Mus musculus: one gene and its partners. The protein of the gene in region 1 purifies or fractionates together with the protein of each later gene. This does not show direct contact. Links are inferred from orthologs where the notes say so. Each region holds a gene or a part of one and is shown in the gene's direction. Other genes may lie near its edges. The genes, in order: Lgals3bp, Cad, Spryd3, Cul7, Tubgcp6, Hsp90ab1 and Tubgcp3.

Region 1 (4,255 bases):
AGTGTTCAAGAGGACAGTTGGGTGTCTTGAGGTAGGAAACCTTACAGTGCTGGTGCCAGGGGAGCTGCAGGGAGCTGCTGGGAATTAGGCCACTGTCTAAACATCATAAGTCTGGGGAAATTTGCCTTTGTAATTTTAGTGTATCTTACATGTTTGGAACTTTTGTCTGCATGCATGTATGTGTACCACGTGTGTGCCTGGTGACCATGGAAATCAGGAGAGGGCATTATATCCTTTAGAAATGGCATTATGGGTGACTGTGAACAGCCATGTGGGTGTTTCAAATGGAACCTGGGTCCTTTGCAAGAGCAGCACGTGTTCATAACTACTGAGCCATCTCCCTAGGCCTCTTTGAATTATATATATATATTTTTACATTTATTTACTGTGTGTGTCTACATGCATGTACATACATGCCACGGTACACTTGTGTAGATCAAGACAGCGTACAGGAGTCAGTTTTCTCTTACAGTGAGTCCCAGGGGTCAAATTCATAGCATCAGGATTGGTTACTGCAAGTCCCTTTACCCGCTGAAGCAGTTTTGGTGGTGGTAGTTTTGTTGTTGTTGTTGTTGTTTTAGGATTTTGTTTCGGTTTTGTTTCTGTTTTTGTTTTTTTCCTTTGAGGCAGGCTTTCTCTGTGTAGCCCTGACTAACCTAGGACTCACTATGTAAACCAGACTAGTTTCTAACTCACAAAGATCCACCTGCCTCTGCCTTCCAGCTAAAGGTGTGTTCCACCATGCCCAATTAGCCCTACTTTAAAAAAAAAGGTATTGTAGAAACCTTTTAAGATTTAATTTTTAAAATTATATGTGTGCATGCATGAGCACACTTGGGTGTGGGTGCCTACAGAGTCTGAGCCCCTGAAGCCAGTTACAGGCTATTCTGAGCCAACCAACATGGGTGCTGGGAGTTGAACTCAGGCCTCCCATAAGAGCAGGTGGTGCTCTTAACCACCAAGCCACTCTAGCCCCCAGCCCTGCTTTCTGCTTTTAGCCTTTATATCGCTATTCTTGTCTCTCAGGACCACTCTGTGGCCCACATACCTTCGCTCTGCGCATGGTAGGTTTGTGCATAAGCTAAGGGCAGCCAGCATTCCCAGGTCCAGGAAAGGATAGTCCAGCCCACATCCACATTCACAGACACGGTCTGACCCGAGCTGCTGCTCCTAGGCCCTCTTTCTGTATCTTTCCACTCTCCTTCGCCAGGATGCCTGCCTGGCCAGCCTGGAGATGTATTTGCTCCAACCATCCCCCAAGCTGCCCCACAGGGTGCCTGCCTGGCTAGCCTGGACTTATATTTGTTTCATCAGCTCAGTATATCAGCTCAGCACAGGGCGCTTGGGTGCCTGCCCTCTGCCCCACAGAGCAGCAAGCAGAAGGCTATTAGCCTTGCTGACAGCCAACCCCAGAAGCAGCCTCTGTCATGTGTTTTCTGAAAATCGAAACTAGGTGAGGTTTACAAAGCATTTCCTGGGACGAGGCTGAGGAAAGCCACATGGTGGAGCTTTTCTCTGCTGAACAGTCTACAGAAGGCTTCCAGTTGCAGCCAGGAAGGAGGCTCCAGGACTGCCTTCAGCCACTGCCTCGCTGCCTGAGGGACAGTTGAGTCCCTCTCTTGCTCCCAGGTGAGTCTCCACTCTACACAGCATGATTTCTGGCAGGCCAGAGCACAGGAGCCAATACAGTTGGGCAGGATGTCCACTGAATGAACAGCTGAAGGGGTGAGTGGGTTAGAGTTTATCCCCGGCCCCCTCCTGGGTCTGTAGATTCTCTCCCAGGACTAAACCTACCTACTCAGTGGTACTGAATGAGCCAGCATAGGCAGGCTTGTCCCATCTTCCCACACAAAGGAGTAGGGCAGAAACAGCCTCTGTCATCCAGTGGACAGCAACATCCACATACACTGCAATGTTCCCAAGGCCTAGAGCGCCTGACCCAGCATGGACAAACCTACGACCACAGTTTATAGTAAATGCAGGGAGTGGGCACCCAGTGCAGTTTGCCTGGGACTCAGGTTTCCCAGAGCCCAGGCCTTCTTGGGATAAAACTGGGGTAATGCCTTGCCACACGGATGTGGGACTCTCTGGCTCCCTCCACCTCCACCAGGGTCCTTGTGGTAGAAGGAGGCCACCCCTGGGCAGACCCTAACCTGTGCTCACTGGCTGTGTCATCTGGAGTCAGTTGGCTCTCTAGCTTCGGCTCTCATTAGGGATGTGGGAACTTTGTGAGTTGTATATTGTTCTGGGTCTGTGCTTGACTAGATGCAGAAGTCTGGTGGGAACCAGTTGGGGGGTGGGGGTGGGGTGCACAGAACTAAGGGCCAAGTCCCACCCATCAGTGTGTTATAGGACTCAACGGTCAGAGCTTATGCCCAGAAAGCTCCCCTGATAGCCAGACTCAGCCACCCATCCTCCATGGTCCAATTAAAAACATAACAGTGAAAAGCCGAAAAAGGAGATTTATTTAATGTGGCCACACTAAGAGGAATCCAGTGGCCTCCCCCATTAATGGCCCAGAGTCTATTAGGGGATATTAACATGAGGTTTACATAGAGGTATACATAGCTAACTGGCTTGCCTGGGCTGTAAATCCCAGAGTGAGCTGTTATTTCCTGGAGACAGGCTTCCTCTCTGGCTATCACCAGGCAACAGCCTTCTCCTTTCAGCGTGAGACTCCCGGGGAGTTCCAGTTCTGCTGTTGCTTCCGCAGTCGGATAGCCAAAGCCTATCCTAGGATCTCTTCACCCCTGCCAAGATGGCTACAAGTGCCCTGGCCCCCTGAGGGCTTGCTCGTGCTGCTCTGGTGCAGAATGTCTGGGGTGGGGGTTGGTCGGTGGGAGAGGGCTGGGGAGGGGCCAATCCTGGTGCTTCTACTGGACCTGAAATATCTCTACTGCTTGTCTCTGGGCCCCTGGTCGGAGTAACAATTTGTGGCTTCCAGTTCCTGCCCAGGAGACAGAGCTCTGTAGCACCATCCACTACCAGTCCCAAGCTGCCTGCTGGGCCTAGAACGAGTCCAGAGTCCATTGAGGCTGCTGCATTTTGTTCTGTGGGTTGCCCCGCTCCTTGCAGGGCCTGAGGGACAATGCCTGGGTGGGGCACATCCTACATACAGGCAAGAGTCTAAGTATTGAGTCCTGTGTGTCAGCACCGTGGTGGTTGACCCTGACCCACATCCCCAGGTCACATCATGAAGTCCCAGACCCTTCTACACTGCCTCTGTCACTTCCCCTTGAGAGTTCCAACCTCATCTACAATGTCCTCACAGACTGGCAAATCTTGTCCCCTGCACACCCCAAAGGCAGCTAGCTACTACTTACAGATAAGGCCAGCTAAAGATAAAGAGCTCTTGTTTGCTTCCTGGGTTCTCGTTGCCAGGAGCCCTCAAGCCACTTGCCTCATCTGGGGACTCTTGCTGACCTGAAGGTTGTCCTGCAGAGCATGTGAGAGAGGCCTGCATGAGAGCCATCACATAGCCATCTGGGCCTTACACAAGAGTACCACCCACAACACCATCCCATCCTCTACAAATAGGACAGGGAGCCATGGAACTGCCAGTCTCCTTTGGAGAGCTGTTGCCAGTCTAACTTTGTTGTTCTTTCTGCTGCAGGGTTGGGCTTCTAGGCCAGGCAATGGCTCTCCTGTGGCTCCTCTCTGTGTTCTTGCTGGTTCCAGGGACTCAAGGTGAGTCCTGCCCCACGAAAGGTCCCAAACGCCTTGTTCTGTGGGTTGTCCCCCTCTGCCTTGCAGAAAAGCTGCATGGCAACCTGCAAGGAGCCATGTCTCAGGATTCTCTCCCATGTGGCTCCTCTGTCATTCTAAATGGTGGTGGCGTATGGCCCCTGGTGCTCCCCCGCACCCAAGTGAAATGCAGGTATTGAAGAAGAGGCCAAGAAATTTTTTCTCATCTCATCAGTGGGCCAAGGAGGGAGAGCACAGCCCGTGCTGTCCTGGAGTGTGTGTGGGGGGGTGTCTCAGGGCACAGGTTAGGGTGGCAGAGAGTCCCTGGGGGGGGGGGGCAGTTCACACACTGCACTGTGGGTCTGAGAGCCTTGTCCATCCTGGACCGTCAGCTGAGTATCCCTCTCTAGTATGGGTGACCCCAATTCAAGCGCCCAGCTGGCCCTGTGAGCATGGGCAGAGACGGGAGTTCCAGAGAAAGGAGAGCAGGACTGTCCTGGCTGCCTGTGCCACAGTGCAGACTGTCTCCAGTCCAGGATTGTCCGCTTTAGGCAACCACTGTAGGGGTGAG
Region 2 (3,500 bases), on another chromosome or scaffold:
CCTTCGCTGCCAGGATGGCTGAGATCGGAGAGCATGTCGCCCCCAGTGAAGCGGCAAATTCTCTTGAACAGGTTTGTTAGGTGTTTGGGTAGAAGTGGAATGATGTCATTTCCTCTGAATCTTATTTCTTTTGGGTCCAGAAATGACTTGTTGGTTCATGTCTCCCACTCACTGCAGGCTCAGGCAGCTGCCGAGCGACTAGGCTACCCTGTGCTGGTGCGAGCAGCCTTTGCCCTGGGTGGTCTCGGTTCTGGCTTTGCTTCCACCAAAGAGGAACTCTCAGCTCTTGTGGCTCCAGCTTTTGCCCATACCAGTCAGGTGCTGATAGACAAGTCTCTGAAGGGCTGGAAGGAGATTGAATATGAGGTGGTGAGAGACGCCTATGGCAACTGCGTAACGGTGAGTGCCGAAACACTTCAGATATAGCAGGGCCTGGGGATGTAGCCTCCTGGGCCTTTTGACCCCCTTTATTGGTGACCTCTGTGACCCCACTTGTAGGTATGCAACATGGAGAACTTAGACCCACTGGGCATTCATACTGGTGAATCCATAGTGGTGGCTCCGAGCCAGACACTGAATGACAGAGAGTACCAGCTTCTGCGACGGACAGCTATCAAGGTCACTCAGCACCTGGGCATTGTCGGGGAGTGCAATGTACAGTATGCTTTGAACCCCGAGTCTGAGCAGGTGAGTCTCATACTGAGGCCTTCATACCTTGGTCTGTGGGCCTCAAGGTTAAGAGGTTTCTTGGCCCTGCTCACCCTAGAGTGAAGCCAGGATTGTCGTGGTTTGGGTTGGAGCTTGGGGAGGCCCTTTCCTCTCTCCATCCCTGGTAGAGGCCCAATCATTTCTCCTCCCCCTTTTGAGCCCTTTTCTAGGCCAGGTGTCAGTGACTTATTCTCTGTGTTCTCCCATTTGCAGTATTACATCATTGAAGTGAATGCCAGGCTCTCCCGAAGCTCTGCCCTGGCCAGTAAGGCCACAGGCTATCCACTAGCCTATGTGGCAGCCAAGCTAGCATTGGGCATTCCCCTGCCAGAGCTCAGGTATAACTTGGGGGAATCCTGATGTTAAGGTGAGGGGAAAGTTGAAATTATTCATAAGACTGGACCTATGAGAGGGACTGCAAGCTCACCCTATATATTCTTCTGTCTTTTTGGCACCCAACTCGTTCATGCTCAGAAACTCTGTTACGGGAGGAACAGCAGCCTTTGAGCCCAGCCTGGACTACTGCGTGGTAAAGATTCCTCGCTGGGACCTCAGCAAGTTCCTACGTGTCAGTACGAAGATTGGGAGTTGCATGAAGAGTGTTGGTGAGCTTTCTACACCCGTTCCAACTCCCATGGGTCCTGCTAGAACCAGGAGAGCAGTGGTCCTCAGCTTCCCTAATGCTGCAGTCCTTTAATACAGATCATTAGTTGGACATGGTGGTCCATGCCAGCCCGTGCCTAGAATTCCAGCACTCAGAAGGCAGAGGCAGGTGGATCTGTCAATCTGAGAGTAGCCTGGTTTGTAGAGCCAGTTCCAGGGTGGCCAGGGCTACATAGAGAAACACTGTCTTGGAAAGCAGATAAGTGTGTGTGTGTCTGTGTGTGTGTGTGTGTGTGTGAGAGAGAGAGAGAGAGAGAGAGAGAGAGAGAGCGCATAGAGCTTTCTCAGAGATAATGGGTACATTTCAAGTTAGTTATCCTCACTAGGAGCAGGGGACAAGAGTCATCTGGAAGCGGGTGTTGGAATATAGTCCCTGGGATCAGATTATTTGATCTCTCTTATTTAACAAACAGGTAAATGGGGGGAGGGGGGCTCAGGAGGAAAGTGACCTGGCTCACGGAGTAGTAAGGGGTCAAAGCAAAAGCCAGATCTTGCTGGTTGTAAACCCATCATTCACTATGTCTTTCATCTTCCTCGAGACACTTTATCCTCATGACGTGGCATCTCACTTCCAGCGGCATTGTTAGGTTGATAAACTCCAGTGACATTTTATTCACTGTTTAAATATTTCTAGGGAAAGGGTTACTGATGCTTTCCTATAAATCCTTTATTTTTTTGTTTTTTATTTGTTTTGGTTTTGTTTTGTTTTGAGACAGAGTTTCTCTGTGTAGCCCTGGCTGTCTTGGAACTCACCTTGTAGACCAGGCTGACCTCAAACCTTGAACTCAGAAATCCCGCCTGCCTCTGCCCCTCAATTGCTGGAATTAAAGGCGTGCACCGCCACTGCCTGGCCCTATAAATCCCTAATTCTTAAAATTTATTGCTCTTTGTGTGCAAAGTATATGTGAGGGTGGAGTGTGCATACCACAGTGCAGATGTGGGAGTCGGGACACATTTTCAGTTCTTTCTACCTTTAAGTGAGTTCTAGGAACTGAACTCTGGTCACCGGGCAAGTTCCTTTCAGTGACCAGAAGTCAGCATGGTGCTAGCTAGCCATTCTCCGCCTGTCTCCTCCTCTGGCAACAACTTCTAGTATCTACAATGGAATTTGCATTTAACACAGAGTTAAGATCAGAGCAAGATAGCAACTGTTACCTAACAAAGAGTTTCAGCAGACAAGAGTGTGAATTCAAAGCCAGTCTGGGCTATGGAATAAAGTCTATGGTAGCCTAGACAATAACCACAAGACACTGTCTCAAAAACAGAACCAAAAAACCCGCCAGCCTGTTTAGAATATTGCGTGGTGGTGAGCGGTGAAGCAAGCTGGAATCCAGCTGATGTGCTCTGCAGTGTCTCTGTAGTTGCTTTGTCTGAGAGAAGCAGGCACGGGTGCTCCCAGCCAATTTGGATAAGCATGTCACCATTTAGAACACAAGTGGCTTTTAAACAAGTAAGTCTGAGCTTAGATATTGTTTCAGAATTTGTAGAAGTCCTCCAAGACTGCCAAGATGTTCCTTCTGGAGATGAGTTTCTGTTATATGAAAATGATAATAAACATGGGAGCGGAGCCATAATTAAGTTGTGGCTAAAGGAAGTGGATTGGAAACAGGATAGTGAAAGATTGGTTGGTTCCCAGCTGAGACTTTGAAATGTCTCTCGCTCCTCCCAGACTTCTCGAAATGCCATCTTCTCCCTGCTAACTTTTATAATTTTCTTTGTGTATTTTGATCTTGTCTTTTTGAGACAGGCTCTAGCTGTGTTGCCAGCTATTCATTTTATAGATGAGGTTGGCCTGGCGTGCACTAAGTAGCCATACACTGCATACACTGTCCCCAAAGTCTTACAGTCTTCCTGCTTCAGGCTCTTGACCGCCCCCCCACCCCCACCCCCCAGACAAGCTGTCACTATATAGCCATAGCTAGCCTGGAACTTGCTATGTTTAGAATAGTCTGGCCTTCAGCTAATAGTGATCCTCCTGCCTCTACCTCATAAATACTGAGATTACAAGTATGAGCCACCACACTCGGCCTCAAGCAAGATACTGTGATTCGCAGAACTCATCTAAAATGATGTTCCCACTTAGTAGGAAGTTGGTTACACTTTACACTTTGTATCTAGAACAGGCTACA
Region 3 (3,998 bases), on another chromosome or scaffold:
TATTCATCCATACCCAGTCTCACATTTTGCCTCTGAAGGTGTTCAGCCCTGTGACCTGCAGCTATGGCTGCATCCCAGGCTGGAACCTTCAGCAGCTCCCCAGCTAGGTTTGTTCTCTGGCTGCAGTGACTTTGCACTCTATCAGCTCTTGTCTCTAGTAAGGCCTCTGAACTCTTGAATTATGCTGTGGCTTCTTTAACCCTTTTCTAGCCATGTTGTTAACCTACATAAGTACACACAGGATATGTAATCTGTGACCCAAGAGTTAGTAATTAATATTAAAGTAAAAGTTCATGTGTTTGGTAAGGGCCCATTATCAATGTAAATCAGGTCTAATTGGCAAATTGCCGCCAATGAAGCTGACATCGCTTGCTGATGTATTTGATACTCAATAAATTTAGATGTGGAAAGACACAAATATGTTCGTTTATGTTTCTGACACAGGATGAGTCTTTCTGGAAAGAATATTCAGTCTTAAGAGCAAAACGTTGAAGTCGTCCAAGAATCCCAATTCCTTCCAAGGACAATCATACCCTTTATAGGAGGTGCATGATAAAGATTAGTATCCTTTCCGGTACATTCTGACCCGAGCTAACTTTTCCTACCAAGCCCAAGCCCAAAGAGCACCCGGGTTTCATCCCACTGTGCCTTTTGCATATGTTCTCTCCTGTTCTGGAACGCCTGTCCTGGAATGAACGAACGTGGTGCAAAGGGGTGCTCCGGAGAGAAGAAAGCATGTGGTGCCAGCCGAGTGCTGCCGCTGTGGAGATCAGCCTCTGGCTTCTCACGCGTAAAATAGGAGATAACATTAAAAAAAAATCCCCCCCCCCATGCCGTTAAGTGGCTCAAAAGGACATTCCAGAGAGGTTTTTAGCATCACTTCTGGCTCTGGGAACACGAAGCTCGCGCACGGGCACAGGGACCTACTCCGCCCCAAGGGAGCCGCCCCTTGACCGCCTCCCTGAGCTCCAGGCGTCCGAGGTGGCGTCCGGGCAGCCACGTCGCCTCCCCCACCCTCCCGACACCAGGGTTCCTCAGACGCCGCCGAGTGTTAGGTACCCAGCTCACCGGGCCGCGCTCCGCACCGCCTGTGCCCTGCGATTGGCTGCTGAGGGCGCCCATCTTCAAGAAGCGCTGCGGATTGGTCAGATTTAGCGGTGGGGGCGGGCCTGACGGAGCAGAGGAAGGGCGGGGACCCGGATGTGTGTGGTGGCGGCGGCCGAAGAGCTACAACGCGGAGCTGAGAGGCCTATGGATGAGGAGGACGCGGCGGCCCCGGTAGGCGGGGATCGGGGGCGGGGTCCCGGAGGCCTCGGTCTCTGCAGATCTCGAGGCGGGGGTCCTGGGCGACGGCTGCGGCCTCAGGGCGGGGCCAGGGGCTCCGGTCACGGGCGTTCCTCTCGCCGCGCACCCTCCCCATTGCAGCCAGGGCCTGTGACGACGGGGCGTAGCCTCATTGACAGGTTAAGGCCGGGTGGTCCCGGGTGTCACCTGAGAGACCCCGCGGTCCTGAGGCCGTGCCCGGACCCAGTGCGGCGGCAGCTGCTTGGTGCTGAGGCTGTCAGGTTCTCGAAGATCCGATGCCTTCAGATCTGGGGCTCCGGCATCTACCTGGGTTCGAGTCCTGGCCCAGGGCCCTGGGGGATCCCAGTGCTGCGCCGCAGGTGTCTGCTCTTGTGGGGCATGTGCTGGTCTGTAGCTCCTGCAGAAGAGCCCCAATGTGCACATTGGGATCGAACTCAGCTTAGCCCAGGATTGCTAAGCACCTACTGTGTGTAGGGCACAGTGCCAGGTGTTTGGGAGGCAGGAAGAAAATATTTCTTCATGGTTTTCCCGCTTTTGGATCTCTGGAAGATTTTATTCATTCATTCATTTACTGGCCTTGCTGGTTGTCTAAATACCGAGAGAGTCCCATGTTTTTCTCCGGTACTGCTGCTGCTTTAGGGGCTGCGGCCCTCTGAATTCTGTTACAACTTGGAGTTAAGATCTGCTAAGTTGTTTTTTCTTTTGTTTGAGACAGGGCCTCACTGTGTAGCCCTGTCTACCCTGGCACACACTATGTAGAGCAGGCTGTTGAAGAATTCAGAAATCCGTTTACCTCTGCGGACTAAAAAGGGCTGGGGTTCTGGCAGAAGAGAAGGCTCAGTGAATTGAACAGCATGGGCTTCAGGCAGGGTGGGGGTACACACTTTAATCCTAGCACCCAGGAGGCAGAGGCAGGCCAGAGTTCAAGGCTAGTAAGTTGCAGGACAGCCAGAGGTACACAGAGAAACCCTGTCTCAGAAAAACAAACAAACAAAAAATTCATACCGTTTCTTGTTTACAATTCCCTAGAAGTTTTTCATTACCCTTGAAATAAAATTTAAAAGTCCTGACTGTGGATAGACTCTTGCTTTACCCTGTTCTTTTTGTTTTTTTAGACAGGGTTTCTCTGTCTAAACCTTGCTGTCTTCTGAAATTTGCTTTGAGACCAGGCTGGCTGCCTCTTAGTCATAGATAACCACCTGCCACTACCTCTGGAGTGTTGGCATTAAAGGCCTGTGCTTCCATATCTTGCCACCTTATTCTACTCTGGTTTTTTTTTTGTTGTTGTTGTTTTGTTTTTGTTTTTGGAGACAGGGTTTCTCTGTATAGCCTTGGCTGTCCTGGAACTCACTTTGTAACCAGGCTGGCCTTGAACTCAGAAATCCGCCTGCCTCTGCCTCCTGAATGCTGGGATTAAAGACCTGCGCCACCACCCACCACCGCCTGGCTTCTTATTTTTTTTTAAGATTTATTTATTTTTTGTAAGTACACTGTAGCTGTCTTCAGACACACCAGAAGAGGGCATCAGATCTCATTACAGATGGATGTGAGCCACCATGTGGTTGCTGGGATTTGAACTCAGGACCTCTGTCTGTGCTCTTAACTGCTGAGCCATCTCTCCAACACCTCCTCTCCCCCCTTACCTTATTGTCATTCACTTTCCCTACATACAATGGCTCTGGTGGGCTGTTTTTCTCTGCCATGACACCTTTTTTCTAACCATGGGCCTGAGCAACTGTTTCTTCTGTATGGAATGGTTTTTGTTACACTGTTACACTGCCTGCCTCTCTTTCAGTTTTTCAGGCAGTACCTCAGAGTCTGTCCCTGTCCGCTATTTTGTTACATCTCTGTGGGTTTTTTTTTTTTTTTTTTCTTCCACTGGTTAAAATGACCATTTGTGGGCTGGAGAAATGGCTCAGTGGTTAAGAGCACTGACTGCTCTTCCAGAGGTCCTGAGTTCAAATCCCAGCAACAACATGGTGCCTCACAACCATCCGTAATGGAAGAGTGACAATGTACTTACATATAATAAATAAATAAGACAAAAAATTTTTTAAAAAATATGACCATTTGTATTTATTATCTGCCATGCTCCCCTATGCCCACTTGAGTGGAAACTCTGTGAGAACAAGCATCCAGATTCCTCTACCTTGCTCATAACTTTGTTCCTAACTCTGATAACAGAGCACACGATAAACAATAAAAATCCTAATAAAGGTCGAGCGGTGGTGGCGCAGGCCTTTAATCCCAGCACTTGGGAGGCAGAGGCAGGCAAATTTCTGAGTTCGAGGCCAGCCTGGTCTACAAAGTGAGTTCCAGGCCAGCCAGGGCTATAGAGAGAAACCCTGTCTCGAAAAAACCCAAAAAAAAAAAAAAAAAAAAAAAATCCCAATAAATACGTATTGCCTGAGTGGCTGAGGCTGGAGCTCTTGATGTATTTGGACATCCGGCGTCAAGTCTGGTGCACTTTGTACATTCAGGGTTGAGCAGGCTGGGGTCCTCTGCTCTGAGCCCTGCTTCCTTCTCAGCCATCTGTCTTGTCACAGGTTTGTTCTCATGAACAAGATGGATGACCTCAACTTGCACTACCGGTTTCTGAACTGGCGAAGGAGGATTCGGGAGATCCGAGAGGTCCGGGCCTTCCGATATCAGGAGAGGTTCAAGCATATCCTTGTAGATGGTGACACTTTGAG
Region 4 (2,264 bases), on another chromosome or scaffold:
CTAGCCTGGTCTGCATAGTGAACTGTAAATCAGCCAGAGCTACATAAAGAGACCCTCTCAGAAAATAGAAAGAGTGGGTGTGAGATTCCTTCCTGATTGGTCACATTTAGTTCCCAAAGTATTCACTGGGCATCAGATTCTAGCCTGGGCAACAAGAGCAGGTGAAGAGCAGAGCACCACCCCCCCTCCCCCCAGGAGTCACCAGACAAGCAGGAGGGCAAACCTTCCTGGCTCAATTCTGTCTGTGCATAATTCAGAGGGCATGGCTGCAGCCTGCTTGGCACAGACTGACTCCTTGTTAGCCAAGGCTTTTTAGGGAAGCTGAGATCAGAAGCCATCGTGCCCAGAAGTCCTGCCTGGGTCTCTACACTGCGGAGACCAGCAAGGCAAAGCTTGACCAACAGAGCATGCCCTCCCCCCTTACCCTCCCCCCTTCTCTCACCTGGCATTTCTCCAGGTCAGAGCCGCTCCAGCTTAGAGAAAGAGCCACAGAGGCGGCTGCAGTGGACCTGGCAGGGCCGGGCAGAAGTGCAGTTCGGGGGTCAGATTCTGCATGTGTCCACAGTACAGATGTGGCTGCTGCTGCATCTCAACAACCAAAAGGTGGCCTGTCCTGTCCCTCTGCTTGCCCTGCCTATTCACTTCTGTTCTCTTGCCTCCATCCTCCCCAGCTCACCCCCCCCCCCCCCCGAGGATCTAAACTCTTTGTATCTCTTCTAAGGAGGTGTCTGTCGAGAGCCTGCAGGCTATCTCGGAGCTCCCTCCAGATGTGCTTCACAGGGCCATCGGGCCTCTCACCTCATCAAGAGGTCCCTTGGACCTGCAGGAGCAGAAGAACGTACCAGGAGGTATGCACTCAGGGCCAAGGCAGACTGCTCTGAGTCAGGAATCGGCTTCCCCGGGCCCTCCCCAGGCAAGTGACCAATGTTCCTTACAGGGGTGCTCAAGATTCGAGATGACAGTGAGGAACCCAGGCCGAGGAGGGGCAACGTGTGGCTGATCCCACCTCAGACATACCTACAAGCTGAGGCCGAAGAGGGCCGGAACATGGAGAAGAGAAGGAATCTTCTGAATTGCCTTGTTGTCCGAATCCTCAAGGCTCACGGGGATGAAGGCTTGCATGTTGACCGGCTCGTCTATCTGGTAGGCAGTGGTGGGCATGGCCATGGGGGAGATGCCCAGAGGTAATGGTAGGCATGGCCATGGGAGAGATGCCCACAAGTGATGGTGGGCTCGTATTTGAAGTGTCTAACTCATGGTGCAGCCTCTCAGTGTGTGACACATGTCCCAGAATGTGTGACTAACACAGAAGACAGTGGTAAGGACTGTGGTTTTGACCTGTCCTTTCCTTCTGATCCTGCTATCAGGTGCTAGAAGCGTGGGAGAAAGGCCCGTGTCCTGCTAGGGGTCTGGTCAGCAGCCTCGGCAGGGGAGCAACCTGCAGGAGCTCTGATGTCCTCTCCTGCATCCTGCACCTCCTGGTCAAGGGCACGCTGAGACGCCATGACGACCGGCCGCAGGTGCTGTACTATGCAGTTCCTGTAACTGTGATGGAGCCCCACATGGAGTCCCTGAACCCTGGCTCGGCAGGCCCCAATCCACCCCTCACCTTCCACACCCTGCAGATTCGATCCCGGGGTGTGCCTTACGCCTCCTGCACTGATAACCACACCTTCTCCACTTTCCGGTAGCCCTGGATATGGGGTTGGGGGTAGGTGAGGCTGGGGCTTTCTACAGAAAATAAAATGCTGGAATTTGAAGCTATGACCTGTATGGGACTGCTAGAGATCGGTGAATGGGGCGTGGGGACTCCAGTTGATGGGGAAGGGGGCCTCTGGCATGGAAGCAGCTTCCTGACCCATCAGGAGGCTTGTCAAGGTCTGGGAAGGTGGATTAGAGAGCAAAGGAAATGTCAGGTGTGTCAACAGCTAAGCCTGGATCTGGGTCCCTCCTTGGAGGCTGTGGCTAGGACTCTGACCGTGCAGGCTGCACACACAAGTCCACTTGGCCACCTTCTTCGCAGTTTGGGCAGGTTATCAAACACGGCCTCTTTGCCCTCATTTGTAGCTGGAGAGAAGTGACTAAGAAGTGACCAGTCGGTCTGTGTCTGTTTTAGCCACCACTCCCAGTGCAAGCTGCCCTCACTGGGGCCTACCCTGAGTAAAAGGTGACCAGGGGAAGAGACCTCTGCAAGCTCCCAAAGCGCGACCACCTTCTGCTGATGGCGTAGGACCTGGTTGGTGAACATCCTAGAAGGGAGTGTG
Region 5 (4,116 bases), on another chromosome or scaffold:
CCAGGGTCACCGTTGGGTGAGAACACTGCTTCCCATAGGTGCAGTTTGAGAGTGGATGCCCCAGAACACAGTGCCATACCAGGTTGACAGTCACTTACGCCCCCACCCCCCTGGCCCCAAGCTCTCCTCTGTCTTTTATTGATAAGCCCTGGGAAGGGTGAGCAGGGTCTCCTGCATTATGTGTCTATGGCCCTGGTGCTTTCTCTTGAGAAGGAGAATTCTGTGGCTCAACATCCGGGGCAAGGATGCAGCCATCCAGTCCATGTTCCACTTCTCCACTCCACTGCCACAGGTGAGTGGCTGTGTTGGGGTTGGAGAGCTTCTCCGCCCCCCCCCCCCCGCCGGTCTCTCTGGGGGTTCCTGTTCACAACCCAGGGTCCCTGAGATTGGGGGTGGGGTGGGCGACAGGAGCCACTAGCAGTGCCCTTTAGATGAGAGTCTGAGGCTCTGCTATTGTCCCTACAGACAACTGGAGGGTTTCTGAGCCTCATTCTGGGTCTGGTACTGCCCTTGGCCTATGGTTTCCAGCCTGATATGGTGTTGATGGCACTGGGGCCTGCCCATGGCCTGCAGAACGCTCAAGCTGCTCTCTTGGCTGCAATGCTTCGGAGCCCAGTAGGGGGCCGAATTCTAGCTGTAGTGGAAGAGGTAAACTGGGTAGGGTGGCTACGTTATATGGGTGGAAGGTGGGCAGAAACAACTGTCTCATTGCGGCGCCCAAACCCCACTCTCTCCGAGCCAGGAATCCATACGCCTGCTTGCAAGGAGCCTGGCGCAGGCATTGCATGGAGAAACACCTCCCAGTCTGGGTCCTTTCTCGAAGGCCACTCCAGAGGAGATCCAGGCTCTGATGTTTCTAAAAGCTCGGCTGGAGGCTCGCTGGAAATTGCTGCAGGTGGCTGGTGAGGCACACAGGGGCAAAGGCGACGCCCTACGTTAGAACTACGTGGAGCCAGCTTCACCAACGAGTCAACTTTGCTTTTCCAGCTCCTCCACCATAATAACAGTGATTGCCAGTCGCTTGAAATCGGTCAAGGTGGGCGATTCACACGTGAAAAATAGCACACTCGGGCCCCAGCGAACCATGGCCCGAGACCTACGTCCCGTCTGCGGCCCAGGCGTCCTCTACCTCCAGAACAATAAACATCGGCCAAACACAACACATCTCTGTCTCCGTTACTGAGTTCACTCCCATCAAATTATCCAAGATGCTAGGTTCTAGCTCTGAAAGCTGAGGCTGAGGCCTCGCCCACTTAGGGCGGGCCTGATGACGTATTTCCCGTGCGTCTCCTGGTGTTGTCTGCCGTCGCGTGGGTGTGACGCCAGAGCGGCGGGAGTCCCAGTTCGGGCGTCCCGGGCTTGCAGGCTGGTCATGGGGCGTACGCATTCGGTCGGTAAACTTGTCATGGTCCGGGAGAGCCGAGGACGAGCGCCAGGTGGAGGCTGAGGGCTGTTAGGGTCGCGGCGTGTGGCCTCTTGCAGTGCGAAACCTGAGACGCGGATGCCGGGTTGCCGGGTGTGGAGCCACGGGCGGTCCGCTTTTTGAGCCTGGCTCACCTACGGTGAGCTTTGGCCTTTGAGAGCATGAAGTGACTCCTAGGTGCAAAGTTTACCAGTCAGGAGGGTCCTGGGCTGAAAAGAGAGTGACTATGGCCAGCATCACCCAGCTGTTCGATGACCTCTGCGAGGCTCTCTTACCTGCTGCCCAAGCTCGCCCCGGCCAGCGCAGTGTGAACAGGAAGAGGGCGAAGCGGAGCCTTAAGAGGGTGGCCTACAATGCCCTTTTCGCAAATCTTTTTCAAGAGGACACCCATCAACGGCAGCCCGACTCGTCGAAGCTCCCCGTGAAAAACAAGGTCCTCATGCTGTCCTTCGATTTGAGGGTGGGGGGCTTGGGGCCAGAGGCTGACCGTTTGGAGGAGCTCGTGGAGAAACTTGAAGCAGCCCCTGACTGTCCTTTTGTGGAGGTAGCATCAGTGTTGGACCTCTTAGTTCAGCTGGCAGGAAGTGGCCCCCCTCAAGTGCTGCGTAGAAAACGGGATTACTTCTTTAACAACAAGCATGCAGGCCGAAACATACCCTACAGCGGCTACGATTGCTATGACTTGAGTGTGTTTGAAATGGACGTTCGGTCATTTATCTCTGGGGAGGAGAATTTGTGTCATCACACGGTCCAGGAAGCGCTTCAGGTGATGGAGGCTGCCCCAGGCACTGGCCTGCCCACCGTTGGGCTCTTCTCAATTGGTGACTCTTGTGGTGACAGGTTTGAGAGAGACACCAGGGTCTCCCTCTTTGGTGCACTTGTGCATAGCCGCACCTATGACATGGATGTGCGACTGGACCTACCACCTGTGCCAGACAGCGCGGACTTCTCTGGACTAGCCATCAAGGTAGTATTTCTTTCCCTTTCAGTAACCCTAGAGGTTTGGAAAATTCTTTTACCTGGTACTGTTGGCAAGCTTCTGTCCAAGCCTCAGGTGAGCAGACAGTCATGATGTAGAGGTGTTGGGGAGGATTTGCTGGCATCCTTTTGCACAGGAATGTCCTAGCTGCTCACCAGTAAGCAAAACACAACGTGCACCTTTCCCATCCTGTTCCTCAAGAGCTTCTTGTTAAGTCACTTCTCTAGTGCTGTTAGTTCAGAAATCAGATTAATTAAAATGAAGAGAGGCAGTGGTGGTACACACCTTTAATCCCAGCACTTGGGAGGCAGAGGCAGGCGGATTTCTGAGTTCGAAGTCAGCCTGATCTACAGAGTGAGTTCCAGGACAGCCAGGGCTACACAGAGAAACCATGTCTCAAAAAGCAAAACAAAACAAACAACACCCCCCATCCAAAAGAAAGTCTGCCCTTAAGTTGTAGAAGCCACATCATTTCAAAGATACCTGGTGTGCATGCTTTGTATACCCCCTCACCTGTAACATGGGTTTCCCCAACCCACCTCCACGTCATTGAATAAATTATCATTTTCTCTTGTATTTTATTACTTGTAAATTTTGTTAAGAGGACAAACTATTACTTCTCAGTTTTGTTTTTATTTTTTATTTTTATTTTTGATTTCTCGAGACAGTTTCTCTGGCTGTCCTGGACTTGCTTTGTAGATCAGGTTGGCCTTGAACTCACAGAGATCTTCCAGTCTCTGCTTCCTGAGTGCTGGGATTAAAGTATCATGTTTGGCCCTCAGTTATTATTACTATTATTATTTTTAAAGGGAATATTTATTTCCAAATTTAAATGATGGTACAGCAAAATCTTGGCGTACATAACTTTCTCTAGGTTTAGTATAATTTTCTTTTTCTCCTGAGTGCTGAGGGGTCAGGCTTCATAAGGACAGGGTTTCAGTGTAGCTCATGCTGGCCTCAAACACATGGATATCTTCCTGCCTCAGTTCCAGGGTGCTGGGCTTCCTGTACGACTTCTTATGCTGTTTTCCCTAAATTGAGGCCATGCTGTATGTGAGGTAAAAAATTAACACCTTGTGTTTTGCAGTAGATCACTCTGTGCAGCCCAGTCTGGTTCCAGACTCAATTCTACTTCAATCTCAGTGCTGGGATGTCAGGCACACACCACACCTGCCTAGAAATTAATAGCGGATTATTTTAACTCTCTATGTCATCATGTATTGTGGAGGGGTGCATTGTGGAGTACACTGAGGAAAAGTAGACTGCTTTGCTAGGTCTGTCCCTCTAGGGAATAAATGGATGTGGATACAGTTTAAGTGTTCTATCATCACACTTAATAAATGCATACAGGGAGAGGTGGATAGTGAATTACTTTTTCCGGTGGTCTCCAGGTCCCACAGATTGTGGATCAGTGGGAAGATGAAGGTTTCCAGTCAGCTTCCAATTTAACTCCCGACTCCCAGTCTGAACCAAGCATGACCCCCGATTTGGACCTGTGGGAAGCTGTGCTCACATACGAAGCCAGCAAGCGGAGGTGCTGGGAGCGTATTGGATGGTATGTGACCTTTTCTTTGCCTTTAAATGCACTGTGCCTTTGCCCCATATCAACAGCTTACTTGGAAACTGCAGGCAGTTTGTAGGAATATCAGTGTTGAGAGTGAGAGGCTGCTGTTTCAGGTAAGCTAGTGTACGATCTTGTCTGACTTCCGTGAGG
Region 6 (4,293 bases), on another chromosome or scaffold:
CATTAGACAGACTGCAGGCAAGCACCGGGAACAAAGGTGTGGGCGGTGGTGTGGGGACACAAGCCAGCATGAGCTAAGATAGCAGAGCACTGAGTGCCCATCCTCTACTGGAGGGCTCATCAGTCCAACAAGCTTCCAGATGCAGCCTTGGAAAAAGGCAAGGCTAGATTGCCAGCTGAAGGACATGGCAGGCCACCTTTAGAACAGAGGCACTGGCACAACTTGGTTTTCTGGCTCCTGGAACTGGGCCAACCTGTGACCAGCACCTTCATGCGGATGCCTAGAACTCCAGCTTCTCTGAAAAGACTGGGACCTGCTCCTCTCTAGGTCCAAAGAGCTGCATGCAGTAGGGAAGAGGCTAGAGAAGCGAAACCAGCTTGAGAAACAGCTTGTGCTCACATAGGGAGGGCGCACGTACCCGCGCGCTGTGTACGTGGGAGACCGGGGAGGCTGAGGGGTGGGGAGTGTTCTACCCAGTAGCGCAAGCTGCTAGCTCGGTTCTCTGTTCACTAGAAGGTGTCCGCAGTCACTCACCCCCACAGCCCCCGTGCCCTGTGACCGATCCAGGTCAGCTATCCCTCCCTCTGCGCTCCACTCCCCCACTGTTATGTGGGCCTCTTAGGGCCACGCGTGGAGGGTCGTTCAACCCTGGCCCACGGTAGGCAGACTTGGGGAAAATTTCTTCCCAGGGTAAGATCAAGGTAGGGGAAAAAAAAAAAAAAAAAAAGCCACCCAGCCAAGCGGCGACGAAGACACTGCCCCCGCCGCAGCAGGGGAGGTGGAGCCTAGGGGGGAGGGGTGGAGACCGCCGAGACAGGCCTAGAAACTGCTGGAAGAAATCGCAGCACCACCGCTGCTGATCCTTCCGCCGCAGGCCGCCAAAGAGTCCCTACCAGCCCAGGCCCGTGCCCCTCCCCTCGGGGAAAGCGGCTCCCAGCCTGAAGCTGTGCTGTACCCGGGAGGGTGGGGATGGGGGAATCGGGGGCCTCCTTAAAGTTGGACAAGGAATTTATCATCCTTTTCTCTTGATGTGCGATTTGTAGGGAACATTCTAGTAAGATCGGGTCTGGAAATGGCAGCCGAGTTGGCCACCTCCATTCTCTTTCAGTCCCCTGAGTTCTGGACTCTTGGGGGGTGGGGGGGTGGAAGCGCCTACCTTGAGTTTTCTGAGGCAGTCCGTAGGGTATTCGCCCGCAGATACATCCCTAATTGCATATGCATGCTCCCTGCTCATCTTGAGGGGGGACATGTCCTACTCCTGCAGAAATGGGGGATGTGCAAAACGATATTGAATTGGCCTTGACTCAGGAACCAGGCCCGGGGTCCCGCTCCTCCCCGCCCCCTCCACGATCTGCTACCATGACGTCAAGGTGGGCGGGCGGCGGCAGGTGCGTGGCCCGCAGCCACTCCTTTAAGGCGGAGGGATCCAAGGGCGGGGCCCGGGCTGTGCTTCGCCTTATATAGGGCGGTCGGGGGCGTTCGGGAGCTCTCTTGAGTCACCCCCGCGCAGCCTAGGCTTGCCGTGCGAGTCGGACTTGGTCCGGGCCCACCACCCTGCTCTGTACTACTACTCGGCTTTCCCGTCAAGGTAAGGCCGGGGTCTCTCGTCCCCGGCGGCTCTCCGGGGGCTTCTTCCCGGGGTCCCAGCCTCCATCTCATCTGTCCCAAAGCCTCCTTCCCCGGCGGGGCAGCCTGTGGAGATAACGTGTCTAGAGGTTAGAGGTTCGGGCTGTACCCCGGCGGGCTTGCACGCGAGGCTCCCCGGGGCGGGTGGATTCCCCGGAGCGTGGGGTGGGGGTGCGGCCCGGCCAGGTGGTGGGCGGCCGCACGTGGTAGTCGCCGACCCGGGACGCTGCCATGTTTGCCCTCCACTTCCGGGCGCGGCTGCAGGGTCCGCGCGGTGGCGGGCTGCTCTGCGTGACTCAGCAAGGCCTGGGGAGGTTGGCCTGGCTGCCTCCCCCGGACGCCGCCGGTACCAACGTGCTTGATTTTGGGGAGGGGTGCACAGCAGGGACGCCGGAACCCACCGCGCTTTCCCTTTCCAGATCTTTCTGCCCTCCCAGTGGAGGGCGGGGGAGGAGAGACAGAGCAGGCACGAGAAGATTCCTAGGTCCCTCCCTTTCTCCTCCCCTCCCCGGAGCTCAGATTGTTCTGGAAGCCTGGGCGCCCCGCCCCAGTGCCCGGATGCTGGGGCGGTGGGAGGGTTTCAATGGCGCCCCCTCCCCGTGTGGCTCCTGCCGACGCATGTCCGGCAGTGACGAGGGTCGTTGGACGGCTGGGCCACCATTTTACTTGGGTTCCGGCCTATGCAAGTCTGCACAGTGAGTGGTCACGGTGGAGCTCTTGATTTCTTTGTCCTGATTTAATTGCCCCGTGAGCGCCTCCCAGACTACAGCTTCAAGGTTCTCTTGCCCTGCTGGGTGGAATAAAATAAAAATTAAAAAAGACTGCTTTTTCTGTTAAAGTTGTTCCTCACCCCAATGAGGAGATTGTAGTTAAGGGGTGTGAGTACCAGGGGTTGCTTGAGGTTCTTTTTTATGTATTGTTAACTTAGTCTGGATTTTTACCATATTGCCAGGTGTTCTGTTCAGAGTCAGTGAGCTATGCACTGAACATGCCAATGTTCAAGAGTTTGACTTTTGGGCATCTGTTCTGGAAAACCCATCTTTTAGGTTTTTTTCTGTCATTTTTGTCTTGGCCATTGTAGCTTAAATGTCCTTTTTTAAAGAAAATGGCTGCTCTTGTCTCTTTGGGTTGGATACTTTCCCAGACTAAAGAAGTTTGAGCTGGATATTAAAATGTGTGTCTATAATGGTCCTTAGTAGTAATTCTTTCATTCTTAGATGCCTGAGGAAGTGCACCATGGAGAGGAGGAGGTGGAGACCTTTGCCTTTCAGGCAGAAATTGCCCAGCTCATGTCCCTCATCATCAACACTTTCTATTCAAACAAGGAGATTTTCCTCCGCGAGTTGATCTCTAATGCTTCAGATGTGAGTATTCTGTTGTTGAATTTCTAAGGCTTCACGGAAGTGTGTGTGTGTGTGGGAGTGATTGAGAAGAACAGTTCAGTTGATGTTGAAGGGGGAGGGACTGTTTGGAAAAATAAAATAATCTGGCTTTTTGCGTTTACTACAGGCCCTGGACAAGATTCGATATGAGAGCCTGACGGACCCTTCTAAGTTGGACAGTGGGAAAGAGCTGAAAATTGACATCATCCCCAACCCTCAGGAGCGCACGCTGACTTTGGTGGACACAGGCATTGGCATGACCAAGGCTGACCTCATTAATAACCTGGGAACCATTGCTAAGTCTGGCACGAAGGCGTTCATGGAGGCTCTCCAGGTGTGTGGCCTTTCATCCACACCGTCCTCTAATTTGTTACTGCTTAAGTTAAAATTTGTCTGTCTAGGGTATTACATATTAGGACACTTATTAGAAAAAAAGTACAAGTGGTTGGTCAGGACAGCTTTGACCCCTAGATCTCTGGACATTGAACTGATTGTTACCTTGCGCAGCAGATGGTTATACTTGGCCAAGAACCATGTTGCTGATCCTCTTTACTTCAAACCCTTTGCAGGCTGGTGCAGACATCTCCATGATCGGGCAGTTTGGTGTCGGATTCTACTCGGCCTATCTAGTTGCAGAGAAAGTGGTTGTGATCACGAAGCACAATGATGATGAGCAGTATGCCTGGGAGTCGTCTGCGGGTGGCTCCTTCACCGTCCGGGCAGACCATGGTGAGGCAGCAGGCTACATTGTGGGGAAACCTTAGACGTTGTATTCTATAAAAGTACATTTTAAGGGGTGGTGAGTGCCAGCACTTGGGTGAGTTCTTAAGGCAAGCAAAGGGGCTACACAGGAATCTTAGCTTGCTTGAGAAACCAGGAACGAAAAAAGCGTAGTTCGTTCTTGTATTTTAGTTTCAGTTTTTCATGTCTTGATTTGTTCTCTGTAGGTGAGCCCATTGGCCGGGGTACCAAAGTGATCCTTCACCTCAAAGAAGACCAGACAGAGTACTTGGAGGAGAGGAGGGTCAAGGAAGTGGTGAAGAAACATTCGCAGTTCATAGGCTATCCCATCACCCTCTATGTGAGTATGGGCTTGGCAGTGTTGGAGCAGGCTAATGGCACTGGGCCTTGCTGGTGCTACATTCTCCACAATTAATTACATGTGTCATTGGTGATTTAGTTGGAGAAGGAACGGGAGAAGGAGATCAGTGATGATGAGGCAGAGGAAGAGAAAGGTGAGAAAGAGGAGGAAGATAAGGAGGATGAGGAGAAGCCTAAGATTGAA
Region 7 (4,212 bases), on another chromosome or scaffold:
TTTTTTTTTTTTTTAGCATTTTTTGGTCACTGGCTTAGTTGATTTACAATGTCCTAACTTGACTGACTTCATTTTGTATGGTGGAGGTGAGTGGACCAACTGAGGTAGTTGCTTTTCTCCTGCTCTGTGGGTTCTGGGGAACTCGAGTCACCTGACTTGGTGACATCAGCTCCTGTTGTCAAGACTGTGCTGGAGCAGCTACTTTCTAAGTGTTTTCATCTATCTGCTGACATTTCACTTCAAGTAGCCACACAGAAAAGCAAACCGCTCTGGCTTTTCCTGGCTCATTGGCCACCCTCAAATAACTGTCAATACATCTGCAATTAAATGTGTGAGTGCTCAGTCCAGAAAGCCACCTTAAGACTTCTTGCTGGGATCACTCCTATTACCAAAGGGCAGTGCTAGGACCACTCAACAAAACAGAGGCTACAGGGACTGAGGACTGAGCTCTGACTACATGGATGATGGAAACAGAAAAGTGGATCACCTGAAGGTTAGCTACTGGCCCCGGGGTGGAAGAAACACCAGGAATGACTGATAGTTATTCACTATGGCCTTATTCTAGACCTTCTGATGGAGCATCATCTGTGTGGGTGGTACAAAATAGGCTGGAGCTAAGAATGGGCTGAGAGCTGAGTGTTGAGAGTCTCGGCTTGTTAGAGTCGTAGTCAAATTCCAGGCTGAAGCCGAGAGTCTCCTCTTGCAGTTTCTATCGTTGGCTTCAACTGGCTGAGCTCCAGCAGGTACCATTTGTACAGGGAGTGAGTGTGTCCGCATTCTGTACATCACAGAGCGGGCAGGGAAGGGTGGCTAAGAGATCTGCGAGCAAAAGACGAATAAAGGTATGCTCTCCATTAAGCCACCTCTGAGTGCCACTGCTATCATAGTCCTGAGTCAGCGACTAAGAAGGGAGCTTTCTGCGGACCACCGAGCATCCGGGCAGGAGCGGCGGAGCTGGGCTCCCAGTGACGAGGACTCTCCTCCTCCTGCGTCCCAGACAGCACAGAATTTCTCGTGTCTGCGTCTGATTTTTCCTTTGCGGCAGCGCTCAAGCCTCTCCATCTCAGTATCCCCGTTTCCAGGACTACCTCCTGGTGACGTCAAGGGGCAGAGGTTCCAGACCTCTGAGAACTCACTTACGAGAGCCCTGCGTAGTAGTCCGGCGCCCCTGTCCCTGTGTGGCTCAAGCGCACTCGGACTCCGCATCCAGTGCTGTTCACAAGCAGCGCCCAGACCGCAAGCTGCGGACGCGTACGGGCATCCTAGGAACGCGTTGCTGCGAGCGTCGCCCAGCAACGACTTTTCCAGCGCGGAGAAGCTGCCAAGTGCAGAAGCCGGGAGAGCGCACGCGCGTCTCGCGCGGGAAGCGGTGCATTATGGGAGGCGCGCGCTTTTGCCGCTTCCGCGAATATGGCGGCGCCGTAGTTAGGGCGCGGGATCCTGGGGCGCGGGGAGGCTGCAGTGCGCAGTCCGGGCGCGGTAATGGCGACTCCGGATCAGAAGTCGCCCAACGTTCTGCTGCAGAACCTGTGCTGCCGGATCCTGGGCCGGAGCGAAGGTACGCGTCCCGGGGTTCAGGGCTGTGGAGACTGAGCGCCATGACCCCCGCCGGCCGGGTGCTGTTCTCCCCGGCCCCCGGGAAGGAAAGGGGTGCGGCTCGCGGACTGTCCCTGCCCTGGGGGCCCAGGCCGGAGCTGCTGTAGCGGCCGAGTTTGTTTTTGGGTTCGTCCAGACAGCACGGCAGCCTGCAGCTCTGCTTCTGCGTGCTTCTCACTCTGCTGTCACCTTTGCCTCTGGTGATGATGAGTCCTGGTTAGATGATGCTCGCTTATTCCTGGACGGTTCAGCTAGCGAATAATGCTTCTAAGAAGCCAGACCCCCAAGGCAGTCCTGCCCACTTTACCCGTACTGTCGCCGCCGTAGTTGGGGGTGGGGAAAATGTCAAGGATCTGGTTTCATGAAGCTCATTTTGGAGATGAGTGGGGACGCGTCTTGAGGGAAGGTTTTAGTAATTGACATGACTGGGTTGCCTTAGAATGTTGAGACAAATCGCGCAGGTTTTCAAGGGAAGACTTTAAACAAGAACCGAGTTTTAAAAACTGAGAGAGCCTTTTGATCTTTCATAATTTGTAACAACCTATGTAACAACTTGTCAGCGTAGAGGATGAATTACTGTGTCACTACTAAACCGTTGACTTAACTCCCTTCTTGCTTTATTCCTTGTAGTGTTTCACTGTGCAGTTTGTTCATGTAAGAAATCTTTGAGGCTTCCTCGACCCTATTATGCCATGAGAGATGCTCCTGTCTAATGGAGGGAATGTGACTAGCACGTTGGTGAATACACAGTGTTTGTGGGTGATAAAGGGCTAGGGAGAAGGCGGATAGGAGGAGCTTAGAGTTCCAGTATCTGGGGAGAGTGTGAGTGCAGAGGATAGTTTACTTTTCTGAAGGGAGTGATCCAGTCATAGGCAAAATTAGATAACTAAGGCTTAACACGCCATACCATCATTTTTCTTTTATTGCATTGGGTCCAAAATTTTTACCTTCCAGAAAGAACCTCGTAGTTATAGCTAGATTTTGAAGTTATTCATTATGAACTTCTAAATTTGAATTTTACATTAAGATCCCTTTTGATAGAAGTTTCACAGCCTTCAGGTGATTGAAATGCTACTTTAAAGCAGAATCCTGTATCCTCCCATTTTCCCACCCCCATTTGTGATTATGTCTTGTGAATCGCTGGACTTTCAGAGAGATCCAGGGTAAAGCTCATTAAAGATGATGCTGTCTTCTCTGTGGATGGAGTTGAGGGATGCAGAGTCAGCTGGGTTCTCTGCCCTCACACACTTTGTTGATATTTTGTTGTGCTCTGACAGGTGTGTAGCCATAGCTAATTGTTGTCATCTCTTTTTCCTGATTCTGTTGAGCATGACTTCTTGTTTGGCCATTCAGATCTCTTCCTAAGGTTGTATTTTATTTTGTTTTCTTTGTAACATATGTTCTTGCTGGGTTGCTTACCCTTATAACTTTGAGTGTTCTTTATTTATCTGGGTACAGTGTTCTTTATCTGCTTTCTCCACAAGGTGGAAGGCAAGGATGGATTCCTGAAAGCAGTGCTGCCTTACTCCCCAAATGCTCCCCTGGAAGAAAGAGGAAACAAAACAAAACAAAACAAAACAAAAAACACTTAACATTATCATGATTTGGCTGTCATGTGAAGAACTGTTATCAAATCCAAAGTCATAAAATTTCTTTCATCTTTTTGCCCTAGAGAGGTTCTGTTCTATTGTTATGTGTGATATGAGTTAGTTTTTTGTTAAATGGTACAAGTTGAGACTATTTTTGAGCCTACCAAAGGAACCATCTTCCCTTAACTATACTTGTCTTATTCTTGTCTTGTAGACTGAAAGTGTTGAAGTGGAACCTTTAAGAGTGTTGATAGCATGGGCTGTTGTTCCGGACCAGTAAGAACCAGGGTTTGTGTAGGAGAGGGCCTGGTGTCAGTACATATTTTAAAAGCACCTAAAGTTCAGAATGGTTTAGATTTACAAGAAAATTGTACACACATGGTTCTCTTTTGCCCAACACCATCTCTTCTGGTCTTAGTGTCTGGCTTACTGAGGTGCAGTGTCACAGTCCGTAATAATACATTGATATTGTTGATGCAGAAACACAGTTGTTGCCTCAAAGGAAGTTAAGAGGTGATTTATTTTGGAACTAAGCATAAGTGACTATGGTCTAGTAACACAGTTTCAGGTTACCCCTAATGCCTTGTTTCAACGTGATTAACAGTTATATGAAGCTTAGTAACAGAATGGCATAAAGTCATAAGTCAAGGTACTTTTCAAATACATTGGCATGAACATCAGGTACGTGGGTTAAAGCAAAATGGGAATCTCTGTTACTGGTCTCAGGTACTATTTGATGACAGTCTCATGTTAGGGTTGGTGGAGGCTGGGTTCTCTACATGCCAACACACAGAGGCAGGCAGTGAATGGGGCCTTTAAGAGGGCTTAGGATAGGTGGCCAAGACAACTTATTAGCTCGAGACCTGCAACATTCTGTCCAGCTGTCTATAATCACAGGCCTTCTAATAGTCAGTCAGTCTGGAAGAATCTCTAACATGGGCATGGCTTTCTTGGGAAGTTCAGTTCACAGTATTGACCAAGCTCCATGCTTTTTAGGCTCCTTCAGGTGTTGCTTAGTACCCAGGGC

Evidence for each region.
Region 2: the proteins of Lgals3bp (region 1) and Cad purify together in Homo sapiens (co-immunoprecipitation; 3 studies listed by BioGRID and IntAct, with this or other methods). This does not show direct contact. The link is inferred for Mus musculus from reciprocal best matches to the Homo sapiens genes LGALS3BP and CAD.
Region 3: the proteins of Lgals3bp (region 1) and Spryd3 purify together in Homo sapiens (co-immunoprecipitation; 3 studies listed by BioGRID and IntAct, counting the BioPlex papers as one, with this or other methods). This does not show direct contact. The link is inferred for Mus musculus from reciprocal best matches to the Homo sapiens genes LGALS3BP and SPRYD3.
Region 4: the proteins of Lgals3bp (region 1) and Cul7 purify together in Homo sapiens (affinity purification with mass spectrometry; 3 studies listed by BioGRID and IntAct, with this or other methods). This does not show direct contact. The link is inferred for Mus musculus from reciprocal best matches to the Homo sapiens genes LGALS3BP and CUL7.
Region 5: the proteins of Lgals3bp (region 1) and Tubgcp6 purify together in Homo sapiens (co-immunoprecipitation; 4 studies listed by BioGRID and IntAct, counting the BioPlex papers as one, with this or other methods). This does not show direct contact. The link is inferred for Mus musculus from reciprocal best matches to the Homo sapiens genes LGALS3BP and TUBGCP6.
Region 6: the proteins of Lgals3bp (region 1) and Hsp90ab1 purify together in Homo sapiens (affinity purification with mass spectrometry; 3 studies listed by BioGRID and IntAct, with this or other methods). This does not show direct contact. The link is inferred for Mus musculus from reciprocal best matches to the Homo sapiens genes LGALS3BP and HSP90AB1.
Region 7: the proteins of Lgals3bp (region 1) and Tubgcp3 purify together in Homo sapiens (affinity purification with mass spectrometry; 4 studies listed by BioGRID and IntAct, counting the BioPlex papers as one, with this or other methods). This does not show direct contact. The link is inferred for Mus musculus from reciprocal best matches to the Homo sapiens genes LGALS3BP and TUBGCP3.

Annotation. Positions count from the first base shown.
Region 1 is NC_000077.6:118,399,160-118,403,414, reverse strand, and holds the start of Lgals3bp (galectin-3-binding protein precursor), read left to right. Parts: upstream 1-1,455; 5' UTR 1,456-1,629; intron 1,630-3,613; 5' UTR 3,614-3,635; coding exon 3,636-3,687; intron 3,688-4,255.
Region 2 is NC_000071.6:31,061,280-31,064,779, forward strand, and holds part of Cad (CAD protein), read left to right. Parts: coding exon 1-71; intron 72-177; coding exon 178-399; intron 400-498; coding exon 499-687; intron 688-921; coding exon 922-1,046; intron 1,047-1,182; coding exon 1,183-1,313; intron 1,314-3,500. UniProt on the Homo sapiens protein: Multifunctional protein that encodes the first 3 enzymatic activities of the de novo pyrimidine pathway: carbamoylphosphate synthetase (CPSase; EC 6.3.5.5), aspartate transcarbamylase (ATCase; EC 2.1.3.2) and dihydroorotase (DHOase; EC 3.5.2.3).
Region 3 is NC_000081.6:102,133,416-102,137,413, reverse strand, and holds the start of Spryd3 (SPRY domain-containing protein 3), read left to right. Parts: upstream 1-1,198; 5' UTR 1,199-1,255; coding exon 1,256-1,278; intron 1,279-3,851; coding exon 3,852-3,998.
Region 4 is NC_000083.6:46,662,601-46,664,864, forward strand, and holds the end of Cul7 (cullin-7), read left to right. Parts: intron 1-457; coding exon 458-603; intron 604-721; coding exon 722-848; intron 849-937; coding exon 938-1,143; intron 1,144-1,367; coding exon 1,368-1,691; 3' UTR 1,692-1,764; downstream 1,765-2,264. UniProt on the Homo sapiens protein: Core component of the 3M and Cul7-RING(FBXW8) complexes, which mediate the ubiquitination and subsequent proteasomal degradation of target proteins. Core component of the 3M complex, a complex required to regulate microtubule dynamics and genome integrity.
Region 5 is NC_000081.6:89,120,351-89,124,466, reverse strand, and holds the start of Tubgcp6 (gamma-tubulin complex component 6), read left to right. Parts: upstream 1-1,316; 5' UTR 1,317-1,649; coding exon 1,650-2,390; intron 2,391-3,793; coding exon 3,794-3,957; intron 3,958-4,116. Other genes in the region: polyamine deacetylase HDAC10, read left to right, coding at 211-292, 466-648, 743-902, 988-1,001. UniProt on the Homo sapiens protein: Component of the gamma-tubulin ring complex (gTuRC) which mediates microtubule nucleation.
Region 6 is NC_000083.6:45,570,462-45,574,754, reverse strand, and holds the start of Hsp90ab1 (heat shock protein HSP 90-beta), read left to right. Parts: upstream 1-1,493; 5' UTR 1,494-1,588; intron 1,589-2,843; coding exon 2,844-2,990; intron 2,991-3,135; coding exon 3,136-3,342; intron 3,343-3,577; coding exon 3,578-3,737; intron 3,738-3,955; coding exon 3,956-4,089; intron 4,090-4,188; coding exon 4,189-4,293. UniProt on the Homo sapiens protein: Molecular chaperone that promotes the maturation, structural maintenance and proper regulation of specific target proteins involved for instance in cell cycle control and signal transduction. Undergoes a functional cycle linked to its ATPase activity.
Region 7 is NC_000074.6:12,669,301-12,673,512, reverse strand, and holds the start of Tubgcp3 (gamma-tubulin complex component 3), read left to right. Parts: upstream 1-1,412; 5' UTR 1,413-1,482; coding exon 1,483-1,558; intron 1,559-4,212. UniProt on the Homo sapiens protein: Component of the gamma-tubulin ring complex (gTuRC) which mediates microtubule nucleation.